Linked DNA regions of Xenopus tropicalis. The protein of the gene in region 2 binds, or shares a complex with, the protein of the main gene of each other region. Links are inferred from orthologs where the notes say so. Each region holds a gene or a part of one and is shown on either strand. Other genes may lie near its edges. The genes, in order: eif3l and eif3d.

Region 1 (4,436 bases), about 1.5 Mb from region 2:
GTCTTACAAACTGCACATGTACAGTGGTCTTGGTGCAGGAGCATGGCATTATGGGAATTTTGTTTACAGAGCTCAGCTGGTTTTTTTTTTTTTTTCTATGAGGTTTCTGATTATCTGAACAGGCGAAAAATGGGGAGACTTAAGGGCACTATTGAGAAAACTGAAGGTATGCCTGCAGCGTGAGATTAACACTTTATTAGTCTTTTCTTCTCCTTTACTAGGGCTCATTTACAGTGCAAGTGCTAGTTTGGACACAAAATTAAGCACACAATAAAGAAAAACTGACACCAGAAATTAAGCTGTTTTAATATATCATAACATTATCTTTGCCTGAGCTTCGAATTTTTGACATAAAGGTATTTTCGCAATGCTTTCACATTACCTATCTGATCCCCTATGTTCTTTTATGAAGGGGCTGCCATATTTGTGCAGCAGTAGGCCTAGAATCTTTAACCGACAGACTGAGAAGAGACAGTCAGGTTAGCAAAAAAGTCAGGTTTAGGAACTTCAAGTGACAATTATTAACAGATGCAAACCTATCTGTAAAAAAGGATCAACATGACATATTACTTTTTATGAACATTAATATTTTGAAAAGTAGTTTTTTTTTCATGTCAGTATCACTTTAACACTCTTTACAAAAGGTTTCCTCCCCTAGTGGGTTGGCTTTATAAGCCAGTACCAATGTGCCAGAAGTGAAGGAATAATGTCCGTCCCAAATGGTCACTGTAGCTTGCAGCCAAATCTGTCAAACCAGATAGTAAATTGCTTCCAAATTGTGGGGCGTGCATCCTAATGGGTGCAGTGGATGAAAATAGAATTTAAAGGGAAAATAAACAATGCATCATAGATTAAAAAAACCATGGTAGTTGCATGATATTTGTGTCAAAAAAAGTGCATCTTGCACTTTGAATCACTTTGCAAATAAGCCTGATGTCTGTAATCACAAAAAAAAAAAAACTATTTCACTGCAATAGCATGACAACATAGAATTACAAAAACTATATTTAATAAGAAAAAAAAGAGTAAATGTATAAATCTAGGTGCAAAAAATGTACCTACCAGTATGCATATCATAATCTGCCTGGTAATTGTATGGATCATAAGAACCCTGTAAAGAAATAAAAATGTTAGTATGGAGCAAGATGATAGTATAAATTGGCCGATCTGTGTTAGGCTGAAGCACTTTTACAGATGCAAGTTATGTCACAAATAGCAAATTGAAATAAGCTAGTGTAGGGACCCATAGGGTTAAATGCCCTATGGAGTGATATCCCTACCTCTTCACATATCCCTGGGCAGAAGCCTTTGTAACATTTTACAGGTATATCTTATCCTTTATTGGCCCATATGGTTGTCCACACCCCTTGTAGCCTCATATAGTGTCTAGCAAGGAGGTGTGGCTTCCTCTTTGGCTCTCTGTCTGTCATCCAACAACAGCTCCACTGAGCCTGGGCACAGCAACAGGCCCCAGCACAGCCATTATCACCCCAGATACCAACATCCTATCTGGAGAAGTCGGGGACAGGGCCCCGTGAACGAGGTGTAGACAGAATAGCAGTTCTTGTGATAGCATCCTCTAGGAGGAGTGAGCTCAGTTAGATCTATATAGTAAGGGCAGCTCAGCCCCCAACTAGAAGACAGCCCTGGGAGTATTTCCTCCACTAGGCAATATTGCCTTAGCTTAGGGCCACGGACTAGTGACAGGATACAGGTTAGTATAAACCCTGATCTCTGCCCAGCCATAGGACCCACAAGAGTTAAAGGTTATCAACCTGGGGATTGACTTCACTATCCAGACTGCCTTCCAAAGTGGTGCCAAGCTGACAGGTACTTTACCCTGCCCAGACTCTACCAAGAGGTGGGATAAACCGGTGGTACCCTCCTTTACTATCCTCAGTGGGTTCTGTTATATCTACATGTCTCTGAGTATTGATTGAGCCCTGTGCTTATAACATCTGTCTTGGACAATAGAGAGTTAACAGTTTGATTGCAAGAGCTCCTGGCATCCATTTTCTAAATTTGAACTAACAAACTACACAGTACCAGTGGGAGTTGTAGTACAACAACACCGTTCATCCCAATTCCTTTCACATAGCGAAGGCCCATTCCTTTGAGAGTCCCAATGTACCCCATGCTCTGTCCATAGCCGTAGTTTGTCTAATTATAGCCAAAAAGGGGTTACACTAGGATAGTGGGAAAGCCAAAGGAGCTAGTCTGCCCCATGTTAGATTGCAAGCCACTATACTGTTGGACAGAGCCATAACTAGCAGTCAGGGCCAGCTTGTGATACATTAGACTGGCTGGGCAGTACAGACAAGTGTTACTGCTCTGATATATACATGTGTACAGCAGGAACCCACTATGTAGGCTCACAGTTGCTATCTGGCCAGTATATTACTGACCTGGCTACTAGGCTTACTGACAGTGTTAACAAGGGTGGCAAAACCGGTATTCGTTAATGTGAATATATAGCAGGGAGGGGATTCAGCACTAACACACGTCTTTATTTTATAGTCCCACCTTGCCACCAAACATGAAGCCTCAGAACTAATCTGCCATATTACAAAATCTCAAATAAAGATAACGTGCATATTATTACTATGGCATTGTTCTTTTAACACAAGGGATTGAAGTCCTATAACCCTAACTATCATATCCCACAGCAACGTCTCTAGCTATAGTGCAATGCACCGCACCCCAAAGCAATCAGGGCCAAAAGGCCAACGCTACTCACTTCAAACTCTTCGTTGGCGTAGGACATGGTTATATCGTGCGAACAGGACACCGAACACCGGCACCCGCGGAGCGCACACTACACACTTAAACAGGAAGAGAAAAGGGAGACTTCCGGCGCCTTTCTAAAACGTCATGGCGTACTAATGAGCGCTGCCGAGAGATGGCGCTGGAGAAGCGCGCGCTTACTAAAGTAAATGTAGTGAGATCTTGTAATTATAACTGGTATATTCTGTGTGGAAGGGAGGCACACCGTCATAAAACTGTTCTTCTTTATGCCACCTATACTTGGCACCCAGCAGCCACAGGCCCTTGGTTTGTGGCAATTGTTTGTGTTCAGCTTGGCCTGGTAACTACAGCAATGTGTCACAAACAAACATTATGCTTCCAAAGAAGCAGCACAACCTATAGACTGGGGCTACATTTCTGCCATTTTTAATGACATGCTCAAGAAGCAGGGCTTTTCCTTTACTGTTCCAAGAGTCTGAACGAGCAGTGCAGAGAGGGACAAACAAATACTGCTTTTATTTTCAATTTATATAAAAAATATCTGTGGGTTTCTCTTTTAATTATAGCAACACAGCTGAAACTATATTATGCTAACACAAGTATTAGTATTATACAAATATGTGTGATATAGGATTTATTGAACCATTCCCAGATCCTGTGTCACAAACGTGAATTATGACCAAGCTGGGAATATTTTTTTGTTCACTTTGTGGACATGCACATAAGCAAACACACCCATTTTACCAAAACACACCCCAGATGTGGGTATGGGTAATGTGCATATTAACCCTAGATGTGCCAGTAAGATAACTCTTCAGCCTCCCTCTTCCTGATTATTAAACCACTGTGAAAAAAAAATCCACAATGGTGCATTCCACAGTGGCAAAGCATCTTGGATTTTGTTTAGAAGAGCAGGGAGCTGATAGCTGGCCATGACATGTGGCACAATTTATTATTATTAACATTTATTTATAAAGCGCCAACATATTCCGCAGCACTGTACAATAAGTGGGTTTCATACATTGGACATACAGAGTAACATATAAAGCAATCAATAACCGATACAAGAGGTGAAGAGAGCTCTGCCCAAAAGAGCTAACAATCTACAAGGAGAAAGGGTTGAGACACAAGGTGTGGGAATAAGAATACAGTCCAGGACAGCAGGCTGTGTGCTTAACTGTGACTGTCCCATAAAAATTAAGACAGATAGGAGATATGCATCTACCCCAACATGGCCATACACACTGGGAGCTTCCACCAAGTGCTTGGGGGGGAGGGGGTCACTTATTTTCCCCATCTGTAGTGTGGGCTCTGTTACTTGTATGTGATAGATACCCTTTCATAACATTGGCATCATTTTTTACTGGCCAGGTGGCCACCATAGATATGTGTTACCCTGGTCTCCCCACATAAAGCAGTGCAAAGGAGATAAAGGAAAGTGAAAGAAGCTGATTTATTAAGAGAAAAATATTGGGAACTGCACAGTCAGTTCATATGCAGTTACAGGAACATACAATGAAATTGTTTTGGGTCCACATAAACATTAGTAATATGAACATTGTTCACAATCATATATTGATTATATTGTATTTATATAGCCCCACAAGGGTACACAGAGCTTTAAAAGCAATAGACACAAACAGGGGTATGGTCATTATAAATCAGACAGTTAAAACAAATATTAAAACAAA
Region 2 (3,823 bases):
AGCAAAGGGTGGGCGTGGAATCCGTATTCTAGTCAATGGCCCTAACAAGCAGAAACGATTTCACTTCGAAAAATGAAAACCCAATTAATACAAATCCAGCAAAAAAGATAAGTTGCAAAGCTGCTTAGGATACTGCCATCTAAAAGACACTACAATTAAAATAAAATTCCCTGTTAATGACAGGTTTGTTGAAAGAAAAGTGAGGCAAGGAATAAATCACAGTCATCACTCACATGTCTAATGGATCAGACACCTCCATGTATCGCATTTTCATCAGCCGTGGGAAGTCCATCTCCTCCTTTACCTCCCAGTCACTCCGCACCTCTACAGAGGAATCACGAGGTTTCAACTGGGCCTGCAAAAAAGGAATACGCTATGTGAAGCATACAAAGGTAACTAAAAGCCCCTAAGAGAAAACAAGCACTGCTGTGGCAAGTACCTGAGATTTCTGATCCCACTTCTGACGTACACCAAACTGTTTCTGGAATTTCTTCTGAAGTCTTAGGCGATCCCTGAAATTAGAATTCTCATGTCACACCGTAGGATGTAGAAGCTAAAAATGACAGCATGTAGCCAAAAAGTCACTTACCTCTCTTTCTGCTTGGCGCTCTTAGGCAGTGTCTGCATGTTAAATTGCAGCATATTCCGCCTGTCTTTGTCCCGACGGAGATTCCTCTGCAAGAATGGAAGACAGTATATAAAATATAATCTCCAGCATGAAGTGCTTATGTAATCATGCCCCTAAAGGTGTTTATATGTCTGATAGCATGCTACTAATACCCTGTGTGTGTCACAGTATAGTAATCATATTAGCACAGGCCCATCAGGCCTTCAACATGGTTTTGCAGATGCCAAATATTATAAAGTAACACAAATCAGTTTACTGCCACAAGCATAACAATTAACTTAATCCTCCCTAATTACCTGTGCAAATCGCAGCCTGTTCCTTTGGTATGCAGTCTTCTGCATCTTTGTGGTATCCACGAGCTGAAAGCTTGTTTCATCCTCATCATGGAAATATGCATACTGGCTGCCACCTCCAAACTGGGAAGAGTATTTATCTAGGAATGAAAAAGAATCAAGATTAAGCAAGAATAAAAACTGGCACAATGCAGAGGTGGGAAGGAAGAAATATTCTTTAGAAATTATAAAAAAGAAATTAAATTAAAGGGTAAATGACACCAATAATTTTTGTGAAGTCTTGGATCACCTTCAGCCAATTCCTTTAACCCATAGGTGGCTGCCTTTATAACCAATTCCTGACAAAGCCCAGTTTCAGCAAGTCCAGTCTCCAAAAAGAGTAACTGGCTTTGCAAACAACAGTTCTTTAATATCAAAGAACCAGGTATTCGTGGGAAAAAACAGATCAATAAAAATCAGCCAGGAGCAGCACATCTTCTTAGTACACTGACAATCTAGTTTGAGTTGCCCAGGACCATCCAGTCCCGACAATCTCTGAATACAGACACCAGCATACAGATAGTTCCCTGTCAAAAATGACAGGTGTATCATCTCCATTAAATACTTTTTATTCTATCCCCACTGGATGATGATTTGGTCTATAAAAAAAACCAACTGCGATTGGGTGAGATTAGAACATGAAGTTAAACATCCTTGATGTCCTTATGTAGATGTTTAGGATCTTGAGGTCTAAGGCCAGAAAATGTGGTCCATCATTTTTGGCACATTAATGACATCTGAATATTAACTAAAGAATATCTTGGCATAATGGGAGCTTTGACCAAGGCTCCAGTTCCCTAGGAGGAGATGCCTCACTTAAAAATCAAAGCCAATTAAAAGGACTGATAGACCAGTGATCCCACATCTCCTGTGGACAGCAGCAATAAAAAAAAAAAAATAAAAAACCTGAACACACAAATACAGTGGTCAACTTACACCTCTGGGCAAACCCTACAAACGCAACATTTTCTGGCAAATAAAATTTACAAGAGATTGATACAGTTTTAAAGTTCATAAATCAATATGACTGAGTTGATTTGATTCTAGCCCACTTCTTCTGAACTTCACTGAAGTTACAGCATTGGCAATGATCTCTGTGTATACACTTTGTCCTTTCCTGCCATAAGCAGTGCTGAACTGCAGTGAAGCTGAATCGCTAGTACTGCTCAAATGGATTGTAACTCAGGCACAGCAAATAAGAAACCACCTGCTTGCAGCACACTGCATAATCATAAGAAGTCAAGAAATGTTTAAAGAAAGTGGGAGAAAAGCTCTAAGCTTGGCTTATCAGCAAGCACACAGTTAAGATATGGGAAAGTAGCACACTTACTGGTATATCTCTTGTCCTGATATGTGGCCCCAGTCCAGTCTGCAACCTTATCAGTGAAAACAAGAAATACTCATGAGCCTTAGAGAGAAAGACATGCACATCATGGGAGCAATTTGTTTTCATGTTCTTTCATTTGTTCAGCACAGTCAATTATTTACCTTATGAACAGATTGCAAGCTCTATAAGGCTAATGTAAGGCTACCTTCCTTGCACACAAGTCTGCCAGTGGAAAAACAAGACCAATACCATCCAAAATCACCAGTACAGACTACGGCTGATTTGGCAGCTGCATGTCATGAAGGCAGGTTTCAGGCTGAAACCCAACCTATTTTAATCAGTGACAGGCAGTTTGCTTTAATGGCCATTGCAGTCTTTACCAGTGGTATGAAATTGTAGTGGCATTTCTTTTGCAGTTGTGTGCAACATTAGCCTAAAGAGTAAATATTAGCATTTTATATCTTTTGAGTATTCATTTTATGATGTTCTGTTAGCAACTCTAACAGGAAGGAGTGTGGGAGTAAAAGAAAAATTGGCTAGTGTAACATGTAGCATGTATGTCTGCCCGCCCTTGGTTTGTATGTGAGCGCAGTCCCTCATATAAGCCAGAAGGCAGACTTCAGTACTTGACATGGCAGTTTTTTTTTTTATTTGGGATTACCCAATGGCACATAGTGTCAAAGTATATTTCTCATGAAAAGGCTTTATTTATATGAAACAGTATTTTACATATGGATGGTTTTATGGGATATAGTTTTGTAGTGACCAACATTGTTTGGTGTTATAGTTTCCCTTTAAAGGGGCGGTTAACTTTTAGTATGTTAGAATTGCCTTTTCTAAGCAACTTTTCAATTGGTCTTCATTAATTATTTCTTATAGTTTTTGATCTATGTGCCTTTATCTTCTAACCCTTTGCAGCTTTCAAATGGGGGTAACTGACCCCAGCAGCCAAAAAAATATTGTTCAGTGAGGCTACAGTTTTTTTTTTATTGTTACTTATTATTATTTACATTTATTTATAAAGCGCCAACATATTCCGCAGCGCTGTACAATAAGTGGGTTTCATACATTGGACATACAGAGTAACATAAAAAGCAATCAATAACAGATACTTTTTATAACTTATACTTTTGTTTTTCTATTCGGGTCCTCTCCTATTCATTTAGCCTCCTAGCTGCTAAGGTAATTTGGACCCTAGCAACCAGATAGCTGCTGAAACTCCAGAGCTGCTGAACAAAAAGTCAAATAACTACAAATAAAAAATGCAGACCAATTGCAAATTGTCTCAGAATATTACTCTCTACATTATACTAAAAGTTAGCTCAAAGGTGAACAACCCCTTTAATCAAAAACCCACCCCAGAGAATAGAGACTGACACACTAGGTTCCCATCTCACACAAATTAATATTTATAAGATAAGAATAAAACGTACCTTGCCCAGTCGGTCTCCTTTGCTGAAGGGCTGGTATGGCATATCTTTAAACTGATCGGGTACAGCGCATGGGCCCCATCCCAATGGGTTGTCGTTTATTACT

Evidence for each region.
Region 1: eif3d (region 2) and eif3l share a complex: the UniProt entries of both Homo sapiens proteins name them as parts of the eukaryotic translation initiation factor 3 (eIF-3) complex. The link is inferred for Xenopus tropicalis from reciprocal best matches to the Homo sapiens genes EIF3D and EIF3L.

What each region holds. Positions count from the first base shown.
Region 1 is NC_030680.2:122,081,042-122,085,477, reverse strand, and holds the start of eif3l (eukaryotic translation initiation factor 3 subunit L), read right to left. Parts: upstream 2,822-4,436; 5' UTR 2,765-2,821; coding exon 2,738-2,764; intron 1,112-2,737; coding exon 1,063-1,111; intron 1-1,062. UniProt on the Homo sapiens protein: Component of the eukaryotic translation initiation factor 3 (eIF-3) complex, which is required for several steps in the initiation of protein synthesis.
Region 2 is NC_030680.2:123,532,639-123,536,461, reverse strand, and holds part of eif3d (eukaryotic translation initiation factor 3 subunit D), read right to left. Parts: coding exon 3,721-3,823; intron 2,337-3,720; coding exon 2,291-2,336; intron 1,062-2,290; coding exon 925-1,061; intron 676-924; coding exon 590-675; intron 513-589; coding exon 440-512; intron 356-439; coding exon 234-355; intron 1-233. UniProt on the Homo sapiens protein: mRNA cap-binding component of the eukaryotic translation initiation factor 3 (eIF-3) complex, a complex required for several steps in the initiation of protein synthesis of a specialized repertoire of mRNAs.